Linked DNA regions of Xenopus tropicalis. The protein of the gene in region 2 interacts with the protein of the main gene of each other region in a pairwise test. Links are inferred from orthologs where the notes say so. Each region holds a gene or a part of one and is shown on either strand. Other genes may lie near its edges.

Evidence for each region.
Region 1: the proteins of gucd1 (region 2) and cth interact in binary tests that used the Homo sapiens proteins (3 or more experiments, as listed by UniProt). The two-hybrid records come from large-scale screens. The link is inferred for Xenopus tropicalis from reciprocal best matches to the Homo sapiens genes GUCD1 and CTH.

What each region holds. Positions count from the first base shown.
Region 1 is NC_030680.2:82,688,193-82,705,167, forward strand, and holds the start of cth (cystathionine gamma-lyase), read right to left. Parts: upstream 7,367-16,975; 5' UTR 7,330-7,366; coding exon 7,183-7,329; intron 4,492-7,182; coding exon 4,410-4,491; intron 3,856-4,409; coding exon 3,760-3,855; intron 3,552-3,759; coding exon 3,442-3,551; intron 2,703-3,441; coding exon 2,571-2,702; intron 1,703-2,570; coding exon 1,645-1,702; intron 1,187-1,644; coding exon 1,109-1,186; intron 249-1,108; coding exon 96-248; intron 1-95. UniProt on the Homo sapiens protein: Catalyzes the last step in the trans-sulfuration pathway from L-methionine to L-cysteine in a pyridoxal-5'-phosphate (PLP)-dependent manner, which consists on cleaving the L,L-cystathionine molecule into L-cysteine, ammonia and 2-oxobutanoate.
Region 2 is NC_030677.2:152,590,344-152,606,650, forward strand, and holds gucd1 (protein GUCD1), read right to left. Parts: upstream 13,493-16,307; coding exon 13,414-13,492; intron 12,624-13,413; coding exon 12,539-12,623; intron 10,669-12,538; coding exon 10,503-10,668; intron 9,602-10,502; coding exon 9,510-9,601; intron 9,039-9,509; coding exon 8,797-9,038; intron 8,568-8,796; coding exon 8,476-8,567; 3' UTR 7,701-8,475; downstream 1-7,700. Other genes in the region: upb1 (beta-ureidopropionase), read left to right, coding at 1,867-1,961, 2,707-2,868, 4,238-4,407, 4,508-4,589, 4,664-4,706, 5,161-5,315, 6,145-6,228.

The DNA.
Region 1 (16,975 bases), on a different chromosome or scaffold from region 2:
ATATATACAAACAAAATATTTCCTAAAAAGACATTCACTGTTCTTCAGAGTAGTGTACAACCTTACATCATCTTCTTAGAAATTTAAAAACTTACCTGGGTAAAGAACTTTGTCTACACGAGGATCTGCTTCCAAAAACTTTGCTACAGCTAAAGCATTCTGAAAGTGTTGCTGCATTCGCAGATGAAGGGTCTTCAAACCCCGATTGCAAAGATAACAATCAAAGGGTGATGGAACAGCTCCTATTGCTGGAAAGTAAAATGGTTTGTTAATTGTACTCATTTTTAAAGAAGCACACTGTACACTGTTACTGCAATAAGTCTTGAGTAGTTACAGACTTAGCAGTAGGCAAAATTAAATATCATATGTTGCCAGCATAGATGCGTTCTATTGGTCTCCATATTTACCAAGCTACTATAGGTGCAAAACAGATGGCATTTGCCACTATATTCTCATAATGAATACCACTGATGTTTCTTCCTGCCACCCTCCATTTAGTGTTAAGAATGTCCAAGCTACCTTTGTCTTTTATCTTGACTGATAACCTGACTTCGGGTCGTTCACCTTCCAAACACTTTCAGTTCAGTGTTTTTAGACTGAAAAAGGTCTTTACTTCAGGTGTAATATTTTTTATTCTTGGCAATTATCATTTCTGTAGTGAAGATCTTTAATTTTTCACCTTCTTATGCTTCACTAGAGCAACTCTGGGGTGTCAATGACTAAAATGTTCTAATCGGATATATCAGTTGATACAGTTCTAATCATTGGTCCTACTTAGCATCTCAGAGCTGCACTAAAGGCAGCTGTTATAATTAATACAATAATTGCTAACATTCCACAGATCCTGCTAAGAAATTTTCAATAAAGATTTCAGTGTGGTCGATGAGCAAAAAAATGTAGTTGAAAAAAAAAAAAAAAAAATTATATATATATATAATATATGTTCTATTTATATAGCGCTGCTTATGTATCTAGCACTGTACAGCAGAACAATAAATTGATGTGTAATCAAAATTATGCTTTATGGTAGTTTGTCACTTGATAGTTAAAGAAAATATCCTTTTGAACGGAAATGAGAGCTTGGATTCCTGAGCTGTTTCTCACTTACCATTCTGAAGGAATTTTAGTTTTTCATACAGCTTGTCACAGTTAACAGACACCAACCCCATAACAACATCGCTATGGCCTGAAACAAATAAGCAATACATTCTTTGTATTAATTGAAAAATTCTTCTTTCTAGCCAATATAAAAAGGTTTGCTTCACAGTATTTAGGTGAGCTAAACTACAGTGCACATTAGAAGGCCTCCATGCTGCAGTAACAGCCAAAATTAAGGTATTCCTGGGAAAGGGTGGTTAGGATACCTCCCTTTTAAAAAAACAAAAAAAAACAAAACTAGTTCACAATTAATGACCATGAAATAATTTCACCACAAAATCTAATGTTCCTCTATGTCCATGAAGATTTTCATTCATCCAGGTCATGATATACAGTATCTAGTAGAATTGAGTTTTACTCATTTACTACGAATCCAAATGAACAAACCCTTCCATTAAGAACCCCCAACATATATTTACAAATATTTGCCAAGTTGGCTTAGCACAAGAAAAAGAAAGGCTGAAATGCATATGTATTGTTTCTTACCATTCATGTATTTGGTTGCAGAATACATACAGATGTCTGCACCTAGAGCCAAGGGACGCTAAAAAAAGCAAATATATGCACTTTTATAAAGTCTTGCAAATATTTAAAGGAACTTAAGCAAACATAATATTAGACCAAACAACTACAGCTCTGGAACAATGACTGCAAGGTACTACTGTTGCAAATTTAGGCTTTGCACATAAATGACCTTATGGAGTGCACAGCAATGCAACACTTGTTATAAACTAAAGTAGAAATTATTTATAAACAGATATAGTAAAGACTGACTGCAATTTTATCATATAAAACTTGCAGGTGATTGATAACCTTAAGCCACTGATGCCCCAACAACCTGGGGTTGAAATATGAATAACTTCAAAAAAAAAAAAAAAAAAAAATCAAAAGTGGTTGCTGTGATAGAAAATGTGGCTATGTTCGGTTCATTAAAAGGTATACTGAATTGCTCTATTACCTACAACATATTGTATGTACCTTTTAAATATTTAGGGGCCACATGTGAGGCCCCTAAAACTTAAATGCTGCCCATTATTACAGTTAGCACATAATTATGGCATGAGCCTCTACTAACACACAGTAGACAAGGTGTACATCATATCCAGATATGGTTCGTTAAAATATGACAAAGTCAGAAGAATGTGTATATGAAGGAAGTTGCTTTATAGAATACAGACAGAACTGTGAAATAAGTGTTGCCATTAGATAATTTATGGCTTTGTCAAAACACCTAGCATTAACATGAATAGGTAAGGCTTTATAAATAACAACAACTTTTATTCACTGCATTTCTTAATTCAAAACCTCCTACTTATCATTTAATATAGACAGCCTGCTTTTCACTATAGGATATACATGGTGATACTAAAAAGCAAATATCAAACTAGATGCTATGAAAAGTAGCGTCATACCTGAAAATAGGCAGACAGGAAAGTGTTATCCACTGCTAGAATAATATCTTTATGTTTGTGAATAATATCAGCGCATCCCTTGATATCGATCACGGTTAAAGTTGGATTTGTTGGGGTTTCTATCCATACAAGCTAAAATAAAGGCATTAAAAATAAAAATTAAACAATAACATCATTCTTTTTTAAATTGCTAATACGTATAACAAAATGAAAAACAATTAATAAAGCACATAAGGCTTTAGTGAAACTCTACTTTATATAGCATTGCGCTACTCCCTAAAGCCAGCAGCCCTATGCTATAAAAAGTATTCTGTCAGGATTTTTATGGTGTACTTTTTATTTCTAAATTACACTCTTTACATTGCAAATAATTTACTCTACCTTTTATTCTTGAACCAACAAATGTATTTTTTTTTTAGCTGTAATATTTGTGAGTAGGCAGCCAACTGTGCATTGCGCTGTTATCATATCTATCATTAGGTGGGGTATGGGAATATTTTTAGCAATGCAGGTGTTAGGTAGCTGCTATCTTGCTTCCTTCCCATTGTCCTGCTGATTGGCTGCTGGGAGGGAGTGGAAGGGGGTGATATCACTCCAACTTGTAGCGCAGCAGTAAAGTTCATGAGAGCACAAGTCACTTTTCTAAGTTGCTTTTCTAAAACAACAGATGCAGAGTTCTGCTGAAGCAGCACTATTAAATGATGCATTTTGAAAAAAACTTGTTTTCCTGTGACAGTATCCCAGGCTCAACATGTATAATGGCAAGATTTGTAGGGTTGCCACCTTAACATATTTAAAGCTAACCCTTATATTCTAATAAATAATGTTCTGGCATTTAGATAAATTTAAGGTACCAAACAGGTTATTTTACCTTGGTGTTTGCAGCGATAGCAGCTTCTAAGCTTTTTAGGTCTGAGCAATCAACAAAAGCCACTTTCAATCCCATTTCCGATGCTACTCTTCTAAAATATCTGTTTGTGCCTGTGGTATAAAAACCATAACTATTTATTGCCTTTACTTCATCAATTCTAAGGTGTAATTGTGGTATACACAATACCATATTTTATGCTTATTGGTGATACAGCATTTACACTAAGCCTTACAAATACCATTGGAAGGACAGAATAAAAATTTAAATTGTTTAACATTATATTGATTTAGTATAGGATTATAGGATGATTTAATTTACCTCCATATACATCTTTAGTACAGATGATTTGGTCTCCAGCTTTCAGAAGATGGGCAATATTCATTGTGGCAGCCAGACCAGAAGCATAGGATAAACCTTTGAGCAAAATTCATCAGTTAATAGAGGCAATAGAATCAACATGTTAATGTTAATCAGCAGTTTTCTGGCCAATACCTGCCAGTCACTAGTGATAGTGGCAAATGGATTGCTTTCAGGTAAATGACAAGCTGCATGATTACATTCAAGAACTTCTACACCATCTGAAATATGTCACATGTGCCATGAGTGTCATGCCCCTTAGGGGCATATTTATTATAGCGTGTAAGCCAACACCACCAGTGTGTTGCCCATAGCTACCAGTTAGCAATAACATTTGAACGTTCATCTGCAAATTAGAAAACAAAAGCAAAGATTTGATTGGTTTCTTATGGGCAACAACACCGGTGATGTTGGCTTGCACACTATAATAAATATGCCCCTTAGAGTATTAAAATGAGGCCATGTTTCATCAAGTACTCATTAACATTAAGAAATGCTATAGTATGTTTTTAACCCTCAAAACATTTTGAAAGTAAAGGAATTTGTCTGTAATGTTCAAACAAATAAAAGTTGGTTATGACTGGAGCAATAAATTATTCTAATAAACTTACAGTACTTGGCACCATCAAGAGCAGCAACTGCTTTTTCCAGAGAATTCCTTGTTGGGTTTCCACTGCGACTATATTCATACCCCTGTAATTCAAAAAAAAAAAAAAAAAATTATATATATATATATATATATATATATATATATATTTATTTATTTACATTTGTGTCTCCATTTAGCTTTACCCATATTGTAGGAAAAACAAATTAATAAATCATGTAGATTTGTATGGGCCTAACTAGAATCCCAGCACAAATAAAAGGTATTTTAGAATATTGGCAAGTAGACCTCATCTGTCACCAAAACGCCTCCTATAACCAAAACATTTGCCATCATTTGCTATAGCAAGCAGGAAAAGTCAGTTTTTGAGAGTTTGGCTGCTTTCAGATAAGTGTTGGGTGCAAAGCTGTTAGTGTTCCAATGCACCAGCCCATATGAACTCCAGTAAGCAGATGCCTTTATTTAGGAGTTTTGGGCACAGAGAAGCATCAAGCCTATGTGGCTCTTTATCTAGCTTGATACAGTGCACTCACATAAACTGCTGCAACCTGTACACATTTTACTCCACTCCCTGTTCTTTCTTAAAGGAACAGTAACACTAAAAAATAAAAATGTTTTAAAATAATTAAAATATAATGTGCTGCTGCCCTGCACTGGTAAAAGTTGCGTGTTTGCTTCAGAAAGACTACTATAGTTAATAGAAATAGCTGTTGTGTAGCCATGGGGGCAGCCATTTAAATTGAAAAAAGGAGAAAAGGCACAGGTTACATAAGAAGATAACAGATTACTGTGTAGAATACAATGGGAATCTGCTACTTATCTGTTATCTGCTTAATAACCTGTGCCTTTTCTCCTTTTTTCAATTTAAATGGCTGCCCCCATGGCTACACAGCAGGGTATTTATATAAACTGTAGTAATGTTTATGAAGCAAACACACAACTTTTACCAGTGCAGGGCAATAGTACATAATATATTAGTTATTTTTATACACTTTCATTTTTTGGTGTTACTGTTCCTTTAAGAGGCAATGTGCACTCTGGCCGCCTTTGAAACCCTATATTTCTTTCACATTGCATAATTTATTTTATCATTAACTAAAAATTGATTAGCAATTCTGTGCAAGTGCACTATGATCACTTTTTTTTTTAACTTAAAAACAGAGGTGTATGACGTGCTGGAGTCATATAGCAGAAAAAAAAACTTTGTGCACGCACATCAATTATCAGCGCTGGAAGTGACAACGAGTGGTCTAAAGATGGTGAGCGCAACCTATACAGAGGCACTTCAACTGGGAATTTCTGGAGTAAGCTGCTGAATAAAAAAATAAATAAATAAGCAGTTCAGTTGAGAGAACATAGCTTAGCTTATGGCTGAGGTTTTAAAGGACTACCTCTCCTCTTTTAATTTCTTCTTTGTAACACTAGATGGCGCTTGCAGTGAAAACTTACAGGAGTGAAAATTTTCTGCTAGAAACCTTGTAATACAGCATTGCTGCAAAGGCTTGAGACAACACTGAAAGCAGCACACAATACCTCTTCAGTCCCATCTAAAAATACTCAAGAGAAGGAGGAGAGGTAGTTCAAGACTCTAGATAAGGTTGATTAAATTTGGCTAGTAGTGATGGGTGAAATAATTTGCCAGGCATGGATTTGCAGCAAATTTCTGCGTTTTGCCATTTGCGGATTTTCTTTGCGAAATTGGCGGCAAAAAATTTTAAAAAAAAGTTACAACACAACAAATAATCGTCACACAAAATATTGTTGCGTGTCTAAAAAAAAAAAAAGGAGCGTGCAGCAATTTTTTTTTGACACTTGTCATTTTCACCTTTTGCAAATCTTTACAGAGATTCACAAATTTTGCGCCAAAGCAAAATGGGACAGATTCGCTCATCACTATTGCCTAGTGATTCATTGTCATATAAATGGATAATGATCATCAATCTTGCCATTATTACAATTATAAAGCAGCATGCCCATATTTTAATACACACAAATTAGGATCTTTAAATAACCTATTGTAATAGGGGTTTCAAATGTATCAAAAATAAACTTATTGTAATCTTTTAAATATATTTTCTTATTACAGCAATGGATTATTCTGAAAACTACAAGGATGAAACCCAAGGCAAACTAAACCAAATACAGGTGGCGTCTCATACTTCTTATAATATATAGAAGCAACTTTTTACGGTAAAATCTAGAAAATATTTAAGGAAAATAAATGTATTTCAATCTTCTTTACTACATGCAAATGAAAAAAAACCGACCTCCAAGCTATGTAAATGAAAGGTGAGCTCACAGCGATATAGTTTCATGATAAGTAACATTTCTGCCCCACGGGGGAGCCAGTCAGCATGTAATACACTGTGTCACTCCTCAGAATTACAGTGACTAAGCAAATCCCCAGCTGACCGGCTGCTAGATCATTGCATCACATGCCTTACTGTAGCACCTGGATGGCACGCTGAAGAAAGGGCCATGGCTACTGGGCAGTGGAAGCATCTGGCACTTATTGAAATGCTACTGGGGACGGATCTACGGTTTACATGCTTCCCATAGGCGTATTATAATTACAATTTAAGTTATATATAATATAAAAATATTACTAAGTACATTCTATAGCAATGTACAATGTTGGGAGTGGAGAGAACAGAAATAAAAGAAACTTTTCTCAGGAGCTAGAAAGTGTGAGGCATGTCTAAAATAATGAAACGTCAACTCTATTGGTCATAGCAGCCTAATCTATTAGTTGTCCAGCCGTAACCAGTCGTACCTACCGCATGTTCCCCTGGTCCGAACTGCTTGAATGTGGTGGAGAGGGTTATGGGGGGTACGACTGCCATAGACTTCCATTGTTCGGGTTCCTGTCCCGCGTGTATGGCCTCAGTGGCGAAGTGCTTGAACCCCTCCTGGAAGCCGTCCATTGATCAGCAGTAGCAGCAATAAGTACTCGTGTGAGCGCTTCAGCAGGTTACACACTGGCCACGCAGGGTGAGAGCGTGTGTTGGTTTGTAGCGCTCTATGCCCCGCCCCTTTGTGCGGCCCCCGTTAGTGGCGAATCGCTATTGGCTAGCGCCAGAGGCGTTGTCACTAGAGCAGACGCGTGTGGGAAGGTTGCTAAGTATGGGTAGCGCTGCCAGCCGGAATAATCCGGCCACGCTTTGCCCATTTTTTTGGTTTTCAAACATAGCTATTGTCTGGGGCTCTGCAAATAGATTGCTTTTGTGGAGTTAAGTCAGCCAGCGGCTTGTCCTGCGCCCCCTCTGTTTTGAGAAAGGTATTTATTTTGTAGCCTGAGTATTTGCTATCGACCTATTAGCATATTGCTGAACTGGCATCTTTACATTACATCGCTGCATCCTATGGACCTTATATTAGTGGCTGATATTTGTTTATTCATGAAGGCGAATGTGCAGTACAGGTACACTACCAAACAGGGCTGCCTTAGGCCAACTGGACCTATTTGGTTTGCACCTGCAGGAATAAGCACATAAAGCTGTCCAGCCCTCCCCCAACAATGATTGCCTGCTTCTATGTGTTCTGAGACGTTAAACACAAAGTGGGCAATGCATTCATACTGCTGCTCCAGGGTACACACTGTGTAGAGCAGTGATCCCCAACCAGTGGCTCAGGAGCAACCTGTTGCTCACCAACCCCTTGGATGTTGCTCTCAGTGTCCCCAAACCAGGTAGTTATTTTTGAATTCCTGACTTGGTGGCAAGTTTTGGTTGAATAACAACAAGATTTACTACCAAATAAAGCTACTACCTCCTGTAAGCTGATAGTGTGCATAGAGGCTACCTAATAGTCAATCTTAGCCCTTATTTTGCACCAATGGTCGGAGGAAAGATCAAAATTTCTACATGTATGGCCACCTTTACACTGTATATAGTATGTTTGGTGTGTCAGTGCCCAGTGCTTGGGGGCCACATTGTGCCATGAAATGTTGAGAGCCAATGGAACAAGAGAAAGAGAGGAGATAAGGCAGGGTTACATCATCAGTCACATGGATAGAGCGAGAGATAGGGACTATTTGCCCCCAGCCCTGGAATCCTCTGCCAGCTGGCAACAACTTGTGTAGGGGGCCCCGCCAAAATGGTCCCAATAGGGCCCTGCCGTTTATAAGACTGGCCCTGCTACCATAATGATATTATACCACTCGATATTTGAATTAGGTTGGGGAAAATCTACTACTTTAGTACAGGTATGGGATCTATTATCCAGAATGCTCGGGACCTGGGGTTTTCCGGATAAGGGATCTTTCTGTAATTTGGATCTCCATAACTTAAGTCTGCTAAAAATGATTTAAATATTGAATAAACCCAATAGGCTTGTTTTGCTTCAAACAAGGATTAATTATATCTTAGTTGGGATCAAGTACAAGCGACTGTTTTATTAATACAGGGAAAAATGAAATCATTTTTAAAAATTGGAATTATTTGCTTATAATGGAGTCTATGGGAGATGGCCTTTCCGTAATTCGGAACTTTCTGGATAATGGGTTTCCGGATAAGGGATCCCATACCTGTAGTTAATTTTTCTTTGAATCAAGTGTTCTATGTACTTCTCATTTACCCTTTTTATTTTCTCGTATACTTGTTAACCTTTTTTTGATATGTTTATGACATTGTTTGAGCCTACTGTTAACTATATACCCAATGGCTATTTTCTTTGACAGACTATGCATATTTAACTAGCTGTACAATTTTTTTTATGCTGAACTTATATATTTCAGAAACCCAATAAAATGTATAAAAAAATTGAATTAGGTTCAAATTAGACCACTTCCCTGTTCTGCCTAAAAACACACAATTATGGCTGGATACTCCCTGACCCACCAAGCTTTGTCCTCTTGGCCCCATTCCCTTTCAGGTCCGGGTGCAATATTAATGCTAGTAATGGGACCATTATGAGATATGTAATATGTAAAATTGCTAATTTTTCTGGAAAAAAATATTAATTATTAGTATCATCTCAGCATCAAGTATCATTTCTACCAGCCAGTCCTGTATGTCCCTGGGTTTCATTTTAAAATTCTGGTAACTAGGGCAGTGGTGATTCTGGGGCTGCTGCCGCCAGGGGCAGCAGGCATGGCGGCGCCCCCTGTTTAATTGCAGTAATTTCATTTAAAGCAAATTTCTGATTTTTTATGAGCAATATAATAGAGGTTTGTGTTTGGAACTCACAAAAATAATTTCAAAACATTTTCAAAACACAATATACATGTTTTTTAAGATCAGCATGTATTTTTAAGTTGTAGGCCCCCCCAACTACTAATTTATAAATCAGGTTTTGCTTTGCAGATCATATTGATGCTACATAGTAATAATAATACAATGACATAGAGTGTTTCAAGTCCACAAATACAGTCCTATTCTACCAGCACACTACAATGTTCAGTCCTATCATTAGTGCAAAACATGGCTTTAAATAAAAAGCACGCTTGTTAGGGCTCTTTTAACAGTAGTACATATAGCCTAGAAACATATTTAGTGCAGAACTCGAGGATACTTGAGGATACTGTTTCTAAGGTATGGGTAAAATTTTAGCTAGTTATGCCTCCCTTTCAATGCAGCAAGATAATCGTTACCCGCAATTTATGGTACCTCATTAGTGTTACCAAACAACATGGCAGGAAGCAACTACAACTGGTATTTACCACAGGACAATGTGGGTCCTGAAACAGGTGTCCTATAGACAATATATAATAAATCACTGTCTAGTTTTCTAGTGTCAGGGTAATAGTATTTGATTTGGATGGTTTTATCAAAATCATCCAATTGCTTGCTGTATTTTACAAAGTGGCATTCCATCTGTAGGCCTACCACCACATCTACACTGATTGCCACTTTGGAGAGTGTTGCCAGCATAAAGGCATTTTTTGTATGATCACTTTTTAACTGCCAGGGGCTGAGTGTTTGTTAGAACATATGTTTCTTCAAACTTCAGTTCAATGACTTGAGCAAGCCTTTTTAGATTGAATGTGCCACAGGCTGGGGTGCTGATGGAGTGACAGGGACATCATATTGGATATGCTCCATCTCTTTCCATAAAGGTGTCATATGGGGAAGCTTGCTTATGAATGTGGTGTTAAGCATTAATACATTCACACACATTGTGCAGTGTTGAAAACACCATGAAGATAAGTCTCATGTTGCCAATACATTGTCATGCAAATGTTCTGTGCAAAGGGCCTTAATTGGCCCTTCAATCATATTGGATTTATTATATATTTAAATATTTTTAGCAGACTTAAGGTATGGAGGTCCAAATTAAGGAAAGATCCCTTATCCAGAAAAGCCCAGGTCCCAAGCATTCTGGACAATAGATCCTATACAATGTAATTAGTGGTAAAATACCACTGCACAATAGGCAAAAACAAGTAATCAACAAGAACACAAAACCAAACAAGGTAGTAAAATACAACTGAAACACCCAAATCAATAAAGTAACCACACAGTGAGACCAGTGAGAAAATATCTGACACATTTAGTCTCACAATGCAATTATAATTTTACAGACACAAACAACAGCATTCCATAATCAATAACTATAAACAATGTTAATTTATAGGAACAAATTAATGATACACTCTATGCAATCACAAAAAATGCTTATACATTTCAAAAATGTTTCCTTAAAACAAAACTGCTTTACTAAACATTATATATATTAATTAAATAGGCATGTATGTTTTATCCAGTTTGGGGTATATAAGTATATCAGGCTAATGGATTGGCTCTCAAAGTCCCTTTTGGCTTCCAGTATTAGATCAGTGAACCCCTTATTAACAAAGTTGTAGGTTATATGAAAGCAACCCTATAACAGCCAGAGTTCCAAAAGTACCTGAATTTTGGTCATTCACTTTACATATGCAGTGATTTAAAAACATGGGACACAGTTCCCATTAAATAGGCCACAGCAGCAGCTTAGAGGCTGCTTAAATGTCTGCCATTTATTAAAAATGTGAACTGAAAAGCACGTACAGGAAAAAGTCACAAAAACTGGAGTTTTTTCGGCTTGTCACTGTCTTTTCCGAAATGTCAAACAAAAGCCAGCATCAAAAATCCGAAAAACTCTAACAATTTGAAGCAAAGAAAGATCTTCCAGGAAAGGGACATCTGCCATTAACTTCTACATGATCTCGACAAGTTTTGGATGGAGTATTTTCGGAATCGAAATTGTTGCAGTTTTGTCACGACTTTTGTGACATTTTTTCGTCAACTTTTAGAGAAAAAAAATCTGATTCAAGAGAAAAAAATCTGACCACTGGTAAATGCCCCCATAGTCCCCACTATGGCTCTGCCCAAAATAGATGCTACTGAAATTAAACTTTGGCAAATTTCCAATAAATTGTTAATTGTAATTGCAAGTATATACCAAAGGTATATATGGAAATTCTAATGCACAACAACAACAAACACAAAAATGTTACTGTTGCATTAGTGTGCACACACAAAGAAGTCTACAATTCAGTAGATGTGTTAGAAATTTTAAATGTATTTATTACCTTTTGAGTTTTTAGTAAAACGTTAACAATAACAAATGTGATTATATATTAAACCAAGTAACTGAGTTATAATCAAACTAAACTTCTGCAAATTTCCAGTAAATTGTTAATTGTAATTGCAAGTATATACAGTACCAAAGGTATATGGAAATTCTAATGCACAACAACACGAAAATGTTACTGTTGCATTAGTGTGTACACACAACAGAAGTCTTTTTTTAGTAAAAAGTTAACAATAACATGTGATTATATATTAAACCAAGTTGGAATCAAAGGGCATAGTAACTTGGAATAGTTAGTTACAAACATGAACAGGACTACAACATGATAGACCTTGTGCATTTTTGTCCTATATAGACTAAATTCAGTATGAATTTGGTATATATACTAAGGCAATAGTCTAGCAAAAGGAAGGAGGAACACAAAAGTTTGGTCTATCAAAGAGCTCTGTTTCAGAAAATGTTTGCTGAGGTGTGCAGCCACTGTGTGGAAGGAGCAACACTCTATAGCAGTAAAGGTTTTTAAGTTTGATCGTACCACCCAAATGGAAGATGGGTCACAAAATTTTTGTCACGCCTGTTTTACAGCCACCCCCCCCCCCTAAATTCCATACCCAGTTAACAAAATCACCCCCTTTTTTACATGGTTGGAATGGCAGTATTAAAAAAAATCACTAGGTGCACCAGCACTTTATATCAGGCCTGCTGTGACCTCCACATTTCATGACATATTGTGGCTCCAGCATTTCATGGTACAGTCTGGTCCTCAAGCATTTCATGGCATACTGTGGCTCCCAAGTATTCTATAATACACAACAGTGACACCCCTGCCCAAAACCCTACAGAAATCTTAGCAAAAGCTCTCCCCAGGCCATTTGTCTCTAAGCAGCTGTAAAAGTGCTTTATATAATGTGCCTCATTTTCAAAGACTAGTGACAAGCTCTTGGAGGGGGCTGGTAGAACAGAGGGACATTTAAGAGGCAAATTGTGAAGGTTATGGGCTGAAAATTGGAACTGTTGGGGGTATTACTTTAGTCTCCATGCGTTCTCCAGTTTTTACTACATGACATGTTTCCAGCGTTTTCTACTAAAGAGGCATAATAACTTACAATAATTAGAGATTATGTTTTCCTAAAATTCTGGGTTAGTCTTCTTATAATGTTGAAGTCTGATGACCCTGACTACAGAGAGTGAAGGTTTTTATCAGTGGTATAACAATAAGTTGCTGGGCCCCACTGCAAGAAAATACTCTGGGGGGCCCGGTGTGCCTGTAAATTCACCCCTCCTGCTTTTGCCCACTCACAAACCCTGCTCCGTGCCACCCGTGACCAGGTAAGAGAGGAGGAGGATTTTCCTAACTAGAGGAAGCAGACACTGCGGTCTGGATCTCCCTTTGACCGTGGCAACTGCTTCTCTATATTTACACCACTGGTTTTTATTGCTTGTCAGTTTAACATATGGCAAGCAGCACTAATGCACTGATAACAATTTGCCCACATAAGTTGTTCTGACTGATTTGTCAGGAGTCATTTAGTAGTCCAAAATCATTAAAATGTCTCAAAGAAGAATTTGTTTTAGTGCTGTACAAGTGTACTCAACCTCCATTTTAATGAAATTAAGTAAGGCATTTATGAATATGTTGTTCTTTTAATGACAAAATAACTCCAATAATATTTTTAACTCCAAAGCAGTGAGTTACCCAAGTGGGTTATGCAAGTCACAAGACCGCATATGCTCTGAGGTTTGCAACAAGGCAGGCAATTTAAGGCCTAAGGCCATTTAGTTTTGCTATAAGTGCTACATGCAGATACTAAACACATACTAAAATAGTTCAGGGGTATCATTTACTATTACATTTAACTGCAATTTTAGTTGGTAGCCTTTTTTTCTTGCATGAAGATTTATTAGTGCATGGCCTTAAATTAATTATAACAATAAGCTAGGAAAATGTAAACAGGATATGTGGTCCTAAAGCCAAACCAAAGAGGGAATCCTGGACTGTTTCCCACTCAGCAGAAAGATATGAATTAAGCTGTCCTTTTGTCAGGGAAATAAAGAAATTCTGGGAAGAGTGGTGCCGACATGAGGAGGGGGGTGAGGTGATGGACTTTGCAGTGAATTCCAGTGAGTAATATCCATTTAAATTCCTAGCTGGGGCTGCAGTCCACCACCAAAGAAGATAGGTTCAAACTGCATTTCATAACATGCCATAAAAGTTATCTTATTGTAAACGTGTAACACAGATAATAATAATTAACTTAAACTGGAGCTATGATTTATTTACTAAAATATATTCTGTGCTCCTGTATCTAAAGATGAACCTATCATTCAATAACATCAAACAGGCATCTGCAAAAATATAATGACAACTAGGAATGTACAAACATGGGTGCATGTTACCTGGTTTTTACCATCAATACACTGCTTTTCTCAAAACTTCTGTGTCTTTGAATGTGCTGCTACATTTTGCACAACAGCTAAACACAAACTATCCAGCAAACAACAAAATGTGTATGCCTTTAATTTGCATGCTTGCCAAGAGACTTGATGAAAATCCTAGGTAAGCTCAAAATGTTTTGCATTTAAACAGTTATACAATGTCTGGATTTTCCTTTACTATTATTGATTTTTAAGCAGGTGGTGGTATTCCAGAATAAGTACCTGGTTCCACTAATGGACTTCTATTTTACAAAGGGTGGAGTTCTCCTCTTTTTTTCTGCCAGGGGCAATGAGTCACAGAATTAAAAAAATGTTTGGTGCTTGGTAAAACAGGATCTTAGATTCCTCCTATATAATTATATTTTGCAGCATTATGATGAATCACTTTGTAACTCATGTACATCAGCTCTTGGCTCAGAGGCTAACTCGTTAACATTGGAGTGTTAATCACTGCTCCTCTTTAGAAAAAAATGCACCAGCCTTTTAATGTTCCTACCTAAGCATCACACCACACTCTTACTTACCTGGATTCCCAGTAATCCACTGTATCTAGCTAGAACTGGAAATGCACAAGAAAGTGAATGTCACAATACTGCATATTTGCATGTCTAGCTAGATACAGAGGATCACTGGGAACCCCAGCAAGATTGCAGATCAGAGCTAGGGAATGAACAAGCATGGCCTGGTAAATGTTTTTCCAAAAAGCAATGGGAAAAAAGCTTTATGATTTAATTCACTGTGGGTGATTAACATTTTGGTTCCCCTTAGTGAATTAAGCTTTCCTTGTCCATTAAGTTTCCCAAATAAATCATCATCCTACACTGAAAAATGTCAGTAAGACAAAAAATAGGAAGGTAGTAAGAAAATGTTTGAATGTATTGTTCTAGAGTCTGATTTGTTCTTTCGGTTTCTCCATTGGTTTGTGGATGATATGCAAATGATTTAGCCAGGGAGATACCAAGGGACTTACACAGAGTAGACCAAACTTTTGAAGTAAATGGAGCCCCACGATCAGAGACAATCTCTTTGGGTAACCCATGAAGCCTTACAATCTCTTTTATAAAGAGAGAGAGTCAATCCGAGAGGTGTCTTAATCCGAGGCAGAAAAATAGGCGTAATTGTTTAATAAGCAAAAGTAGAGGCAGGCAGAGTTCATGCAAATCCAGTGTCAGGCCAAGGGCCAGTAATCCAGAAATCGGCAAGGTCCCAATTCAGGCAGAAAAATACAGAGTTAGCAAGAAAGTAGCAGTGAAGCTAGGCCTGTAACCAAGCACTGAGTGATTCCCACAGTGGGTTTAAAAAAGCCTACGTTTGGCTCCAAAAAGCAGTGTCAGTGTGCATTCCGACGCAGATTGTGAGCACACACCGGCATCCGTCTTGATGCGCATTTGCGCACGGACCGCCGTGCCCAAGCCCGCAGAGACCCTCCATGTGCACAACCCGGAAGCGCCTTACAGTGTGCCCTTTTCTTGGGCTTCTGTGTTCATAAGGATCACGCTGCTGAAATTAACAGGGATGTCACTATTTATGTTGATAGACCTATCAGCTTTTTTTTTAACTAGGCTGCATTTAAAGAGGCATAATTAATGAATGATGTAGACATTATTTATATCATTATTATATGACAAATTGCAGTGAATGCTAACTTTTATCTTTTGTCATTTTTAAATAGTTTATTCGTTTATTCTCTGGGGTCAGTGACGCATGCAATTTTTATTTACACAAACACATTTTAGTTATTCTTGAGCTCTCACAGAAAAGTTGTGTCTTTTCATTAAAAAAAAGTTGCACACATGCAAAAATTGAATTGTCCTATTTATTTTTAATGAGGCTAAAAGTCTTGAATGTTTAATTAAACTAGGGAAAAAAATAGTTGTTTGAGACTTGCCAGCTTTTAAATGCCAAGATTTTTACAAGATTTTTCATGTTTTTTCTTTGATAACTCACAAATATTCAAAGTTTCAGAAAACAGTCGTGTGTTTTTGCATTTTTCTCAATAATGATAAATCTGCCTCTTAAAGGAAAAGTAACACAAATTTTTTTTAAGTAAAAAGTCTATTCTACCCTGCTCCAATAATTGCCCTATCCTTCATAGCGTTTATTATTCTGAATGCTTTATTAGAAAATACCTTGTAAAACTTTGCATCAGGTCATTTCAAATGGGGCAATGTGGCGACCTTCCCTCTGCACAATTCACAATGCGACGATCGACATCTCCTCCTAGCCCGACTCCAAAACTGGAAGTCAATTGTTTGCCTGTACAGAAGGAAGGCTAGAAGGAGATGTCGATCGCCACGTTGTGGATTGAACAGAGGCAGTATCGCCATATTTGAAATGACCGGATGCAAAGTTTTACAAGGTATGTTCTCATAAAGCATTCAGAATAATAAACGCTGTGAAGGATAGGGCAATTATTGGAGCAGGGTAGAATAGATTTTTTACTTAAAAAAAATGTAGTGTTACTTTTCCTTTAAGCTGCAATAACAAGCTACCCTAGGTAGGCCAGATCAGATGTGATTTCTACAATGTTTATAAACAGGCATACAAGTAGGCAGTGTGGAATAATAAAGACATAACTAGTGGGCTGCCCAGAAGTGTAAAGGGATCTCTTACCAGATGACA
Region 2 (16,307 bases):
TGAGGTCTGCATTTTTTCCAAAGAGTTTTGGAACAATTATTGTTATCGGTGTGCAAATTTGTGTCACTGGTTATGCCACTTGTTTCTATACTGTTCAGTGCGCAGTGTAATTAAAGGTGCAGTTCATAGGACTTATAGTTTACGAATACTACACCCAAATAATGACTTTTTATAATTATATATATATATATATTTTATTTAAAAAAAAAAAAAAAAAGAATTATTGTTGCTTCTCCCCTCAGATGTTTCCCAGTTCTAGCTTAAAGGGGAAGGAAAGTTAAAATCACTGGGGGGATCCAAAATGCTAGGTACCCCCCAATAATTGTAATCGCATAACAGATGGTGCTCCTGCTGTGAGAAAACTGCACCGGCCAGGGTGTAAGCGAGCAGGCATTACTCTTCCTCCTTCGGTCTTTGCACTTGCGCGCTAGAGTGAGAAGCTGAACTCTAACAAAAAGGCTGGCTTTTTCGCTCATCTGCAAATGTGCGGGCCCTGGGATCGCTGCTAAAGGAGAAGGAAGAGGATTACTTGCCTGCATCTACCCATGCCCGGTGCTGTTTTCTCTTAACGGGAGCACCAGCCGGGGATTTCAGGTAAGCAATTACAGTCACTGGGGGGTGCCTAACATTTGGCACCCCCTAGTGATTAAGCCTTTCCTTCTCCTTCCTTTAATAAACCAGATTGCTGAATAAATTGTTACAACTAAAATGAATACATTTATTGCTGGCATTGTTCTGATGCTGCTGAGAAATGTATCAACCAATGTTTTATTTAGCAAAAGTTTGGAAAGTCGCAACATGGCTTATAGAATTTCTACAAGAGGGCAGAAAAACAAATTCATTTGTAAAACCAAGATTTTAGAAAAATGGTAAAAAAAAAAAATAGAACTAAATTGTAAAAAGTCATTATTTGCAGTATAGTACTTAATTATTATAATATCTGTAGTTGAATTGTCCCTTTAATATCTTGACGCAGTAGTCTTTTGCAGTCACACATAGCACACAACATACTCAGCGGCAAAGAAACCTATAGGTGAATATTCTACAGGAATCCAGACGTTCAGCGCTCTGTCAGATAATATGCTTGGTAGGCAGGTAAATGTGTAACGTACAGTTATACTGTAGCAGGTGAAAGAAGTTAACTCAGGGACTGGCCTCTCGTAGCTAGTAAATATGTAATAATATGTGTTACCTGAAGGGCATATATCACTCTTTCTTTTTAGTTTAAATTAACAATACATGTTAATTAGACCAATTTTTATATTTATTTGTCTAAATATGTTAATTGCACAGTGTGTTTACATTGTCACATAGGCCAATGGCACATGTAGTAATATAAGAATATGTATAGCACCACTGAGTAGAACTTGGTTTATCCAGGGATTGAGAGAATAATAAAGGATTCTGGAAAATCCTCAGACATGCTAAAAGTTACATTTGAAGTGAACTTCTTTAAAAAACTGTTAAGGACGATCAAGGCAATATTGACTGCAGACTGCTGTGGCCCAGCAGATTTTTAGGTGATTCTCACTAATGGTTATGAAGGGTAATTTGAGGCTTTTTACCCCACTAAAACACAGTGGGAACATTTCCCCCCTTCCCTCCTTGATTGTGTTGATGTTAATGTATAAAATTCCAAGTTTGTATTGAATGGGTTACTTGCAATCACTGAATATTGTCATTGGTCTTGTTTGTTCTCATTTTCTTCTTTGACCTTGCTCTCGCACTTCCCTCATCTTATATGTGACCCTATCCCTGTACTGTGTGCTTCTCCTGCTCACAATGCACTTTGGTGATCACTATATTTCTTTTGCTCCTTCACCACTCAACCACCCCACTTCATTGATACCTACTGTATTTTTCCAGCCATGCCCTTTGCTTTCTGTACAAGAGAGAAGCTTCCTTGGACAGAGTTTGCTGAATCTGCTGAGGATGGAATGACCACCAAATTTTGCCAGGAGGTAAGTGCTGTTACTGGTCCTACATGAAGTAAATATGGCTTATTCATATTATCTGTATAGGCATTTCCAGGGATTGTACAGGAGCTGAACTTGTAACTTTGTAGGATGCAGAACCTGAGAGATCTTTCTTTGCACAGCATTGGTGTCTGTGCAACAATATCCTACAGGATATCAGTTTAGTGTCACCTCTAAGAGAAACTTGTTCTGGTTTATCTCTCCTTAGCCACATACTGAAATAGTTTGCAGAACTAAAAGCCAGCACTCCTTAACTGCATGTATTGATTTTTTTTTTAAACAAATGAGAATTACCCACCATTAACATCATCCCTTTGTTGAACCAATAATTATATACTCATACACTATTTGAATTGTATACATCTAGTCAAGAAATTCTTTTAGAGCAGGATTTTTTTTCATGCATGCCTTCCATGATTTACATCGCCAATGCCTAGTCCTCAACTATAGAATAACATTAACACCAAAACCACAAATCCTTGAAGATCAGAATGAACTTTTATAAGCACAAGAGTCAAAACTGATCCTTTCTGTAGAACACTGCACTCTGCCCTGAGCTCCCTGAGCATGCTGATTGTTACCAGCAGTGTCATCCTCCAGATAACACATGCTGCCATCCTACCTACTAGACTAGGGGGAACTTCCTGCACAATATATCTATTACTGTAGCATGTCAGGGTGCAATTTTGTCAGAGTATGTAGAGTCTTCTAACCCATATATACTTTGCAGCTCGCCAAGAAGCACAATATGGTCATTGTGTCTCCAATTCTGGAAAGGGACTCAGTGCACGGAGACACACTTTGGAACACAGCTGTGATCATATCAAATACAGGAGCTGTTATGGGGAAGAGCCGAAAGAATCACATTCCAAGGGTGGGAGATTTTAATGAGGTGAGATAAATCAGTAAAACAAATTAGGGTGAAGACACATAGAGCTACTAGTAGCAGCTACTTGTCACAGCTACAAAAATAGACAATGCTGATCATTTACTGATAATTGCCTCTACATTTGTTTTAGCAGAGAAAAATCTCTGTATTGTCTATGGCAGGGTATTTTCTGGCATTTAGTAGCTGTGAGAAAGTAACTCCGTGCATCTTTACCCTTACATACAGTGATCCTGCTTAAAGGAGAAGGAAAGGTTTAACCCAAGTAAGCTTTATTAGAAAGGTCTATGTAAATGCAGCCATAAGCACTCACAGAAAAGCTGCACTGACTTCTCTATCAAAAGTAACATAGGATTTCCTTCTACACATGTTCTTCGGTATCAGACTTCCCCTCTCGGATAATACTTTATGGCACAGCACGAGTCTGAGCAGCTCTCTCCTCCTTCCAATCTCTTTCCCTCTCTGCTGTAATCTAAGCTTGCAGCAGACAGATCTGCAGCACAAAAGTTACTGAAATTAAGCTAAAATGACAGAGGGAGCTTCTAGCGCTGTTAACTTAGGTATGGTAAAGCTTTCTACAGAATAAATATAGTGTTGTAGCTTGCACTATTGTGGCAAATCAATTGGCAACAAAATGCCTTTCCTTCTCCTTTACTTGCAGGAAAGCACAAAGGAAGACATTTTCCATGTTTAACTGGATCACCACAAGTAATGTGTTTTACTTGCAGTGATCCAAAGCTTAGGCAAGGGGAAGGAATTATCAGCAGTTCTCTTGTCCATGGTAGTGTAGATTTAACACGGGAAATATATATCCTTGTTTTCCAGTATTCTTAAAACACAACAAATAAACATAATAAAGGCCAAATGCAAATTGTCTTTATTAGTAGCATAGCAATATCTACTTCAGTGATTTCCAGACAATGTGGCTGAGCCGTACGAGGGGCTTTGAGCAGTGAGGAGGGCCAGACGTTAAGGATTGTTAGGATGACATTTGGGGAGAATGCTTATTAACTTCCCTGGTTATTCTTGTAACTGTGGGGAAATTACTGATTTACCAATGTTTTCCTATATCTGAAACTACCCCTTTGACTTTGGCATAATGTAGTCAGAAGCATTCATAGACTTGTCACATACTTTTCCCCTTTTTTGTTTAAATTTTTTAAACCAGTATGGATGAGTAGGCCAACTTTTGAGCTTTGTTGGATGGCATTTTACAACCTGTAACTGTAGGCCATTAAACCTTTGTTAACTGATCCCACAAGTCAGCAAGTTGAAGACCTGCACTAGCACTTTTATATCTAAATTAAATGGATGAGCCAGTCTGGAACTCTGTTATTTTTGAACATTGTTTAACTTATTTCTGCCTGTGCCCTAGTCCACTTACTACATGGAGGGAAACACAGGACACCGCGTATTTCAGACAGCATTTGGCAAGATTGCAGTGAATATCTGCTATGGCAGGCACCATCCTCTCAATTGGTTCATGTACAGCATGAATGGAGCAGAGATTATTTTCAATCCTTCAGCCACCATTGGAGAGCTTAGGTAAGGGGCGAATCATGAAAGGTTGCACTCCTGATATTCTGTGCTCCCCCTAAGTATTACAGATGTGCTTATTTTTTTCCTTGTGTCTGGTTCCTTACAGTGAGTCCCTGTGGCCTATAGAAGCTAGAAATGCTGCAATCGCCAATCACTGTTTTACTTGTTCCATCAACCGTGTTGGAACAGTAAGTGTCAACCATAGTCAACAGCCCAGTTGATCATTCTATATGCACTTATTTCACTGGGCTTTCTTTTTCAGGAGCATTTTGAAAATGAGTTCACATCTGGAGATGGCAAGAAAGGTAACTATGGGGAAAACACAAACTATTCAGTCATTCTGTAAAGCAATGTCGGGTTTGCCACCAATATTTAAGCAATAAAATTCTTTCTTCCATTCTAATTCTAAATATACTTCCATTTCAATCACTGGTCCCAGCTTCTGTAGTTCTCAGGGACCACTTTTTCATTTTTACCAAAGGTCATAGATCTACGTGAGTAGACTGTTCTACTCAGGTGAGCTTACTATACTCATTATGGTCTTTATCTTTTCTGCCATTGTTATTCTTTAGACACCACTGGATGACTTTACATTGAAGTGAGCAGTCCCAGTGATATGTTGTTTTAGCAGTGAAGACCTTAGCTGGCATTTGATACAGCAGGGGTACCTGCAGGTGTTTATATAGCACTTATGATCCCTGGCATTTGCCGAACTTTTGCAACCAATATACCATTTAACATAGCACTCTTTTTACACAGCACATCATGATTTTGGCCATTTCTATGGCTCTAGCTATGTATCTGCCCCAGATGGGAGTCGGTCTCCTGGGCTCAGCCGAGTAAGAGATGGGCTGCTGGTGGCTGAGATGGATTTAAATCTGTGCCGACAGACTAGTGATAAATGGAACTTCAAGGTATGTTCAGATATTTATGCCTATGTGTTGTGTTTGCATCTTTATGTTATATAATCGTTTAACCTTTGTTCAAACTCTGATAATGTTGGCACACACCTGCTTGTTCAGAAAATAAAAAGGGCCATGTAACATATATAAAAAAAATATAGACAAGCCCCTAAAAATCCTTCACAAGTTAATTGAGGGCTCGGAGTTACTCTTTAATGAAGAGCGGTGGACAATTTTTCACACATTAATACTTTAATATATATTATATATACACAGTATGGTGTTTGTGTCCACTCAAAAATAGGAAGCTTCCTGAAGCACAAGAGCCAAGAAATAACATTTACTGCGTTTAGTCCAATTCTTAAAAATCATCTGATCAGATTGTGAAAAGTCTAGTAGAGAACTCGCACCCAACTGTACCCACGTACCCTTATTCTTTTACCCATTCTGGTACACCCACCTCCGACTTACACGTCATGTAACCCAGAAGTGATGTCAGTTTGCAAGGGCTCACCCTGCTTGATTCAACTTGAGTTCCGGTGTCTAACTTTTTTGCCTGTGAAGCGTTGAACGTTCGCAAATAAATTTCCAAGGGCTCGCCCTGCTTGATTCAACTGCCGGTGCTTAACTTTCTTACCCAGAAGTAATGTCACATGATGGGCCATTTTCAGCAGGATAAAGTAAAATTTCCTTTTCCCATCTCCAAAATGGGCAGCTACTACTGCCCACCTGCAGCTAAAGGGTGTGCTACTAAGATATGGAACACCTATTGTCATATGCCGCTGCCCCATTTCTCTGAAAAAATGAGTATGCAGTGACCTACATATTTATCTGTATGCAGATGACTGGACGCTATGAGATGTATGCTGAAGAGCTGACTAAAGCCACACAGCCAGACTTCAAGCCTAATATTATACGAGAGTAACACACCATATCCTATAAGGGAGAATCTTACTTTGGTGTTATCTGAAGTTGCCTGCTGCCTGTTCTGTTTATGTGAATAAATGGAAGGAAAAGAAGCTGTTAAGAAAGTTTGAACAACTTATTACTGCAATTTCAGTTACAGCATTTGACTTCATTATGCAATAAACAAATGTATATTTACTAATCCTAATGCCTAACCATCGGTGGAGAACTGATTTCGATATCCCCCACATATAAACCAGTGTAATTTGCATGTTCAATGATGATATAAAGCTGATGTCCCAGAGTGGTTTAGTCGGCTGCGATAGATCTCTGCTATCGCAAAATGCCTTTCCACAGGCAACAGTAGGAGTCACCAGTGGAAATCCCTTTGCATCTCTTTGGTGTTTCGAAGTCACGCAAAGTTTCCTCCTGCAGGCAACTTTGGAAAGTAATTATTTTCTGCAGGAGCTGCATGCGTAAATTACCAAAGAATTAACACTGAAGTATTGCTGTCCCACACCCTAAGCTGAAGGAATTTAGAGGAAAACAGAGAACTGTTAAAAGGTAGGCAACAATTGACTGGTTTTGGCAGAAATCAGAAGGCTAGGAGATGTGGAGCATTTCATGTTGGATTGTGCAGAGCGAAGATCACCTCATTGCCTTATTTGAAAAGACAGGAGGCAGAGTTTTAGGATGGCATTGTAATTAAAGCATTGGAAAATAAACCTTGTGCAGAATAGGGTAGTTATTGGAGCAGGGCAGCATACATTTTTTACATAAAAATTAGACAGCCGGAAGAGGAATCCGGCAGTGTTAGGTCACCCGAGCTGAGGTGTTAACCCGCAGGTATCAGCCTGACCCGCACATCAGTAGTTGCCAGGGTCCAGTTTAAGCTAGGAACCAAACAGGAATATGAATAGAGAAGGGGCCTAAATAGAAAAAGTAATAAAAATCAACAATAACCTTATTGACTCAGAGAGCAAGTTTTTTTTTTAGGTGACCCCTATTCAAAAGTTGAAAATAGTCAGAAGAGGAAGGGAAATAATTTAAAAAACTTAGACCAGTTAAAAATTGCCAAGATTGATAGGCCATTTTATAACATACTAAAAAAATTAACCTGAAGGTGAACCACCCCTTTAATCTTATATATGATATCACTGGGCTTCAATGTATATCAGTATTCAGGGTGGTTTGCTTATTGAATACACCGATTAAACTTTTTTTTTTTTTAAAGTGTTTAAATCCAATATAAGCAGTTTTGTGCTCTTAGCAAATTTTTCTTAAGGAATTTAAAAAAAACAAACACGTAAGAGCCCTTACATATTAATAGCAGCAATTGAAGAATTGACCCAGAATAACACTAATATTACACAGTGTAACTTAACAAACCTTATAAAATGTGTTTGTGTCTTGATAATCTCAAAATTATTCTTGGGTTAAAAAAAAATGATTCTGACCACTAAAGTAGACAAACTAAAGTGAAGCATTGCAGTATGTATAAAACCATCTTTATTATAAACTGTACATTAACATTTTGTGGTCTCTTGCATCAGAAAAGTGTTTTCACACCCTATAGTATTGAGTACATCAGACATTAATGGATCAGCCCTATAAATTAAGATTGATAGTGTTATTAGTACCCATACGGACAACACCTTTCCCTGGCATCTAAGTATAAAAATTAAAACCGTACCCACATACACATTTCCTAACCAGGGTCACTGGTTGAGTGTGGAAGTGACCCTATAGCAGCACTGTTCGTACAAGGCTATCGTGCAGCTAGACACAGAGCAAATGTGGTCAATCAGTGCAAGAATGGGCAATTCATTCATCCTTTCTACTGAACCCCGTTCAGTTCTATGGATAGCACTGAATATCTACAGAGGCTTTCAGAGTTGCCCAAGCAAAGTTGGCTACAGTGTAAATGCTGCATGATCAATTCTGTTCCCTTTCTACATTTTTCCCTCCTGAAACTGCTACCTGCTTACCATCCTAATAGTTGAACTGAACCCAACAGACCATTATGAGTGGCCATCCTAGCCATATTTTTGGTTTAAATTAATTCCCAAGTGGCAAGGGATAAATTAATGATGGTCCAATTTTCCACGGACTACTACTACTCCACCACCACAAGAGTGAGCTTTAATTTTAACTTCTAAGCAGAATATATATATAAATATCTTTATATCGCGTTGACTGTGGGTAATGAGGTTCCTGCTGAGTGCTGTACTCGATCCTGAGAAAAAGTTGATGCAGAGTTCAGGGGTCAGCTGTTCACATAAACAAACAGAATATCTTCATCTGTGCCATAGCTGCTGCGCGACTCCTCAAAGTTAGTGATGCTGGTCCGACACAACCCTAAGGGCAAACAATCATCATTTATTTATAGAGTGCCTGTAAGTTACACAGTATTTAATAATTATTTAAAACAAACCAATGTGCAATAATTTAACAAACAAGGGTTACAGAATAGGAAACAGAATCGGAGGTCCAGCTCACAAGAGCTTACTGTAAGTTTAGAAAGCAAAAAAAAAAAAAAATCACACAGGAAGGATGCAATTGTTAGGAACACATGGGTAAGACTTACTGTCGGCATATCCTGGGTTGTTGTAAAATAAACTGCCAGAACTCTTGTTGTAACCACAAAGCACAATAAAATGGCCCTGGTAGTCACTGCTCCTGCAGAAACACTTTTGCCCAATTGGAAGAAAACAGCAGTATTTGACACGTCTGGGGCACAGGTCACACAGTAATAGCACTGCATTCACTAGTACGATGGCCACATGTCCCTGGGAAAGATGCTCCTGTAACTCCTGAATGGTCACTGTGCTGCAAAGTGGAAGGGCCAATATTATACAGGCAAGCTAGAAAACTGAATGATATAGTTTGCATTTGTGCAAGGAAAACAGGGGCAATGAATGCGAACCATTTACAGATATCACCAACATTAATAGCTGAAGCCTGACACTGGGTACCATCCACTGATACAAGATACAGGGGTGAGACCCAAACAATTTGCCCAGTTTTACAAGTAAAAAAACAATGCAAACTAGATACAGTTCTAGAAAGGAACTGATGTCTTAGCTCATGTTACTTGCTAAAAATAACCAGTATCATAACGAACTCCATAGATACAGCCCTACGGTAACTAGTTGTGTTTAAGTAACGATGCAGACTATCTGCAGTATTGCACTTCATTCTATTTTATAGTCACTGCACATGATTTATCGAAGATTTTTGATACCTTTAATTTTTAGATTTTGAATAAATAGATAACGGGTATCAAGGCTGTACATTTACCGTTTTTCCACATTCACTCCACAGGATTTGGCTTGTGCAAACAGCTGGTTCACTCTGTTTTCCTCTGCATCAAAGTGTTTTCTGTAGAATGACTAAGAAAAGAGAGTAGCCAATGAACTAGCATGTCAATCCCTGATGCCATAAATTTAGGAGAAGCCCTCTGGATTCTGAATAAGCTTTCTACAGAAGCAACAATTCTCCTTCATGTTTCCATAAGGCCTAACATGCTTATGACAGTCAACATTCAGGCCTCAGTCATCTGAAATATCACTACCTATAATACAAGTGTCTGAAATAATTTCTGCTTTAGAACTTTTCACATTGCACTGTAACCAGAACTATTGGAAAGCAATGCTATGAAACTTTTGGCTCTATGTAGAGGTTGCAGCAGCTAATCCCGTGGTATAGAAAAACCAGCACTATACACCTCACTCTACTGCCCACTTTACATGTCGACTTGCGTTGTAAATATAATTAACCTTTATGGTAAAAGGGAAATTAAGACAAATGCACTGATTTTAAATCTATATCTAAAATCCATAAAGCAAGGCAGGATTGCTGGATTAATTCTCAATTCTCACGATTTTACAGATATATATATATATATATATATATATATATATATATATATAGGATATAAAGGATAAGACAACCCTAATCTATATAGCAAAACAAAATTGCCATTTTATTCCCAAATCTATGGGAAACTCATATGTGCCTTTAGGTGTTTGCACTGAATATGATCTGTATCCACATCTACAGTGATAATTTCTCCATGAATACATTTTGGATAGTACACAGGTACCTGTATATACAGTATAATTCCTGTCAACAGCTATCCTACAATATATTTAAGTTAGAAAATATTACCTTATTCAATACAACAGCTTTCTAGTCTACATATTAGGTGCCAATAACCCATGCACTGAAAATTACTATACCACTTAGTACCCAACTATTTGTGCCTGTAAGTAACTCAACAGCCACACTAACCTGGTTCTTATAACCTTTATCGACCCCTAAAGTCTGAGTGCAGAACAGGTGCCGGACCCCAAAATGGTGCATAAGATAGGCTAGATCAATTGTCCAGATGCTCTTGGTGAGTTGGAGCTCGTGCATAGCATTCTGAAACTCATTCTCACGCAGAAGGTTCAGATACCTGATTGGAAGTAATAAGGAATTTAGGGCCAAAACATCATGAGTGTCTTAGCCAACACCTGCTTATATGCTTGTTCCATTTAAAGCCGTGGGTGATTTCCCGAGAAACTTAAAGGAACAGTAACACAAAAAAATAACTTTCAACATATCCATTCTAAATATTTTATTAAGATATGTAGCGTTTAAAAAAATGCAATATTCGACAGGGTTTTAAAATAAATCACATTACCAGGGCTTTACTGTGCAGAGCTTGAAAGGCGATACGGCGACTTCCGGTTTAATCCGGAAGTTAAATGCCGCATTCTTCAGAGTCTGTTGTGAGTGATTTATGGGCTGTTAGCAGTTGGGGCATGGAGAGGGAGAGGAGAGGGATCAGAGACTGTACCGTTCCTTCTGTCCAGCTAAGTCTGCATCGCTGTTTGAAGTAGCGCTGCGTGTGCCTGAATTAGGAGAGGGGGGGGGGGGTGGAGGGGGAAGTTGAACGGAAGCATGGTGCGAGACTTGGGAGTAAACGGCAGCCTGTTCTCTATAAATCAATGCTAAAGTAATATTTTTTTTAAAAACCACTGCTGCTATTGAAATTTCTGTATGATATATTTTATAATCAAAGTGTATAGAAGGGATATTTTGAATGTTAAAAAATTGTGTTACAGTTCCTTTAAGAGTCATGGCACACTGGGCATGGGAAATCTCAAAAACACACTGGAATGGGGAATCATAAGAATTGCCACAAGTAAAAAAAATGAATTGTGAGTGCCCCGTGTGCCATCATCCTAATGGGACAGTGAACCCTGAAGACACTATTTGCTAAATATACTGTGTCATGAAAGCAGCAAATGAGTCTGAATAAGAATCTCAATCTTGGAAAGATTTAATGTTCCCTGTTACTTACTACAGAAGGCATCTCTATCTTCACTGCATATTATTAACATGTATTTATAAGGCGCTAACATATAACTACTGCTGCCATGAGGCAAGTTAAAAAAAAAAAGTTAAAGGAACAGTAACACCAAAAAATGAAAGTGTATAAGAGTAACTAAAATATTATGTGCTGCTGCCCTGCACAGGTAAAAGTTGTGTGTTTACTTCAGACAGTCTACTATAATTTATATAAATAAGCTGCTATGTAGCCATGGAGGCAGCCATTCAAAGGAGAAAAGGCACAGGCACATAGCAGATAAAACACTATTGTATTCTACAGAACTTATGTTATCTGCTGTGTAACCTGTGCCTTTTCTCCTTTTATCCAGCTTGAATGGCTGCCCCCGTGGCTACACAGCAGCTTATTATATAAATTATAGTAGCGTTACTGTAGCAAACACACCAGTTTTACCAGTGCAGGGCAACAGTACATTATATTTTTATTACTTTAAAGCTCTTTCATTTTTTGGTGTTACTGTTACTTTAAGAAACACTTCTTGAGCGCCAGCGCCCTACAATATACCGGGGGCAGCAAATAGCCACTACTAATAAGTTAAAGAGCAAGAAATCCTGATTTTTAAATCTGATTCAACTCTATGGCACAGAGCAGTATTGCAATCTCAGCACTAGTGATGCAGCCCCCCCTCAACTAATTGCGGGGAGGGGGGCAGAATTTACCTGACCGCTTCAGGGCATCCCTGAGCCCTGAAATGCCCCCGATTATATAGGGGGTAATAAATGAGTGTATACATTAAAAATACAGATTTACTGATACAATGTTTGATGACGACCCACATGGTCATCCAGGCATTGCTGGGCTACAACTCCTAGCATGCTTATAACATACATGCAGGCGGAATACAGTAACACGTGGGAATCTGAGGTTTGGAAAATGGCATTTGCCACTCATTTTCCTTTTAAAGCTTTCTCCTGAGCCTACAAGTACTTACTGCAGCACCATGCGGGCACACGCCAGGCCACAATCCCAGTGATAGGACTGCTGGATGAGGGGCACCTTCAGCTGAACATGATCACCTGCAATAGGAGTGAGAAGCACTTATAGGTACATAGTGAGAGAGAGTAGCCTGGGGCCTGCGCACCAGCGTATGTAAGGTAAGTGATTGTAACCAGGGTGCAAATAGGGGGACATCACAGGTGGGGCCCAGGAAATATAGAGAATTCGGCTCCAAATATACAGGGAGGGGACAAGAAATACACAGAAACAATAAAACGTGCTTAGAGTAGGGAGAGGGGCAGAAATACTAGTGCCCTGCTACACACAGCAATACTAGTGCCCTGCTACACACGGCAATACTAGTGCCCTGCTACACACGGCAATACTAGTGCCCTGCTACACACGGCAATACTAGTGCCCTGCTACACACGGCAATACTAGTGCCCTGCTACACACGGCAATACTAGTGCCCTGCTACACACGGCAATACTAGTGCCCTGCTACACACGGCAATACTAGTGCCCTGCTACACACGGCAATACTAGTGCCCTGCTACACACAGTAATACAAGTATGTATGCGGCACTGCAGCAGGAAACACAGAGTTGGGGGAAGGCGTGCCGAGCACATAGGGACACACGGACATTACTGCCATACAGAGACATAGCAGGCTGCGGCACAAGGGCACACGGTTACACTAGGAGAGGTTAGCCTGCGGCAAGTATTAAGGGCCGGGAAGGAACAAATTAGCAGAACCCGAAACAGATGATACGGGTCCGAGAAGACAGAACTAGGGTTGGTGTTGCCATTCAGCGGCAGGGAGACAGGGGAAGGAGAGGGCGCTGTATAGGGGCCGGGGGTAGATACGCACTGCTGTCTGTGTCCGAGGTACCGGCCGGTCTTGTCGCAGCTTTGCTACCCTCGGGGTCGGTGTGTCCTGGATTCTTCATAGTGCTCTCACAGTGTCCCAAACACTTGGAGTTTCCCTCATACCTACCCCTCCGGGCCGGGGCTCCCTGTGTGTCCGGGGTGGAGCCGGAAGCTGCACGGAGCCTCCCAGGGTGGGGCAGTATTAGCATTTGGCCTCTTCTACCTGCAGTGCTCTTGTTATGGTGGGACTAAGCTTAGTGCAGGGAAGGCTGTACAGTATGTGAGAAAGTGAAAATGATAATGCCTTTAAATCAGGATGGGAACAGTGATAAAGCAATTATAAAATGAAACATAAATAGGGGCAGACTTTAGCTGCGGGTTCAGTCTGAGCCTGCAGATTAGCTGCCTGAATATAGGTGGCAATATACAGACTGATTTCAGCTGCCTTTAGACCCTTTGGAAGCTTATCTGCCCATGTATAGGCACCTCCGATGGGCCTCCCCGACCGACATATGGCCTGAAATCAACCATTAAGGTCCCCATACACGGGCCGATAGAAGCTGCCGATATCGGTCCCCTGGACCAATTCGGCAGCTAATCAGCCCGTGTATGGGCAGAAACGAGCGGCCTGGCCGACCAATATCTGGCCTGAAATTGGCCAAATATCGATCGGCCAGGTTAGAAAATCCAGTCGGATCGGGGACCGCATCGGCTCGTTGATGCGGTCCCCGAACCCCAGGGCCAAATGATCGGATTATTTTTTTTTAACGCAAATTGCTACCCGATATCGCCCACCCGTATAGTGTATGGGGACCTTTAGTCAGGTTTGATTTTATCGTTGGGTCAGGGATGGCATAGGCTCCTTCATGCAGTCCTCAAACCAATGGCGCCTATGCCTGCCTTTAAATTAGATTGTTTTGGCTCTAGGGCCAAACAATCTAATTTTCCTAATATCACCCGCCCATAGGTGGGCATATCGGGAGAATATCTGTTCGCTTTTTGATCTGGTCAAATGAGCGATCTTACCATGCATGGCCACCTTATGGGTCTTGTCCTACAGCCTATCCAATAGCAATCTGGTGAAATATCAGGCAGATGTTGGGCAGGTTTAAAAATCTCATCTGGAGGAGGACTACATCAGATATTTGATATGGTCCTCTCCTGATGGCCTACACAGGCGCCTATTACAATGATCATTTGGCCCTCACAGATCTGCCTGATGTCAGCCACAACTAGGTGGCCATATTGGTTATAGATCCGCTGGTGACCTTCTCACCCAGATGCCCAATTTCTGGCTGCTAGAAGAACAGGACTAATGCGGATTATTGTGCCAATACCAGAATAAGCCATCTTGTTTTTCTTCAATGTGTTTCCACTGTGGCCTATGGCACTATCTATATATAGCTGCTATGGGTAATGTTGTTGTCCTTTTGTGGGAAAGCCAATGGGCAACTAAACCGTGTATGCCATTACCCTTACCTCAAGATTATGTGATGGTTTTACTAGCGCAGCCTGCAATTTTAGGCTAATGGCACAAACAGCAGTTTCAGGCTGCAGTGACAGGTTAATTCCAGTCCTGTATGTGCACATACATACATTCATGGTAGAATGGGGGGTGAATCTACATTTTACAGCAGTGAGCAGGGGTACATTTTTGTGCACAGATGCCATTTTGTCCATTTTACTTAATGTTGCATGTGCTTTCTGGCAGTTCAGAAACAATGCATTCAGCAGATATATAAACAAAATAAGCCTGATCATTCTGGGCCCATACATATGCCAGCGGTCTGCCAATTCAGTTAATAAAGTCAGAATCAGCACCTATTAAAAGCGCAGACTAAAAGAAACAGTCTGATCAGGTGCGGACTGGAAATGGGGCCTTGGCATTTAATTATACGCGGATACCCAAATAGCCCCCTATCACCCCAATAAATAGTGTCTGTGACATCTTACAGCAGCCCTTCTGGCATTTATCACAATCCACAGATTGCACGTCTGAGTCTAATTGGAGGTTTCAGCTCAAGATATTTAATAATAATTCATAATATATAATATGAAAAGTTGCAGTGCAACTAGCCGCTCTTAAATGGTGTGAATAGATAAATGGGTTGATGAGCGGAACTAAGTCACTCATATCTGTTTCCCACCGGAAGTTGTTTGCTTGTGCAGTCGCCGGGAAAAGGGGGCAGAGAGATACGACAGCCTGTTTCCTTTCGCTGTGCATTGTGGGGCAGGCGGGACGCCATTAGAACGCAGAACAGAGCCACGCTAGTAAGTATTACCCAAAGCAAACAAAAGTTCGGTAAAAAGTCTGCGCTTTGCAGGATTGTCAGAGAGGCCCGGGGGTTGCAGCGTGCGGATATCTGGGCGGGGTGTGCGTCTCGGTTACTCGGCGCTTGTTCGCTTTCCCTTAGGTCTGTGCGGTTGGCAGCTTTGTATGAGTGTGAGCAGGGCTTCCCTCTAAATATTGCCTTATGGTGAGGTTATATACAGGGTGCCGGGCCCAACGCATCTCACTGTGTTACCAGTCCGTTATCCGTTTCTATAAATATTCCTGCCTTAGGCCGGGGGCACTGAAACGTTTGTGTAGGCCTCAGTGCCAGTATCCCAGGGAACTCATTCATTGAGGGTTACTCCTCTGCTTCTGCGGGTTGTGCTGCTGCGATGTCCTAACGTGCATGTGTTTCTGAAGGGCTGGGCATGTTTGTGTGCATATGTATGGCTGAATTTATAGACTGTAAGTGATTAAAGCTTTAGGCTGGATAAACATTATGTAATAAGGATTTTTATTTGAATATACCTTATAGTTTGCACATGGCTGCATTGTATGCAGTAACCTGCGTTGCGCTTTGTATGTTCTCCACGTTTTTTTGCTAATTTTTATTTCTCCAATTG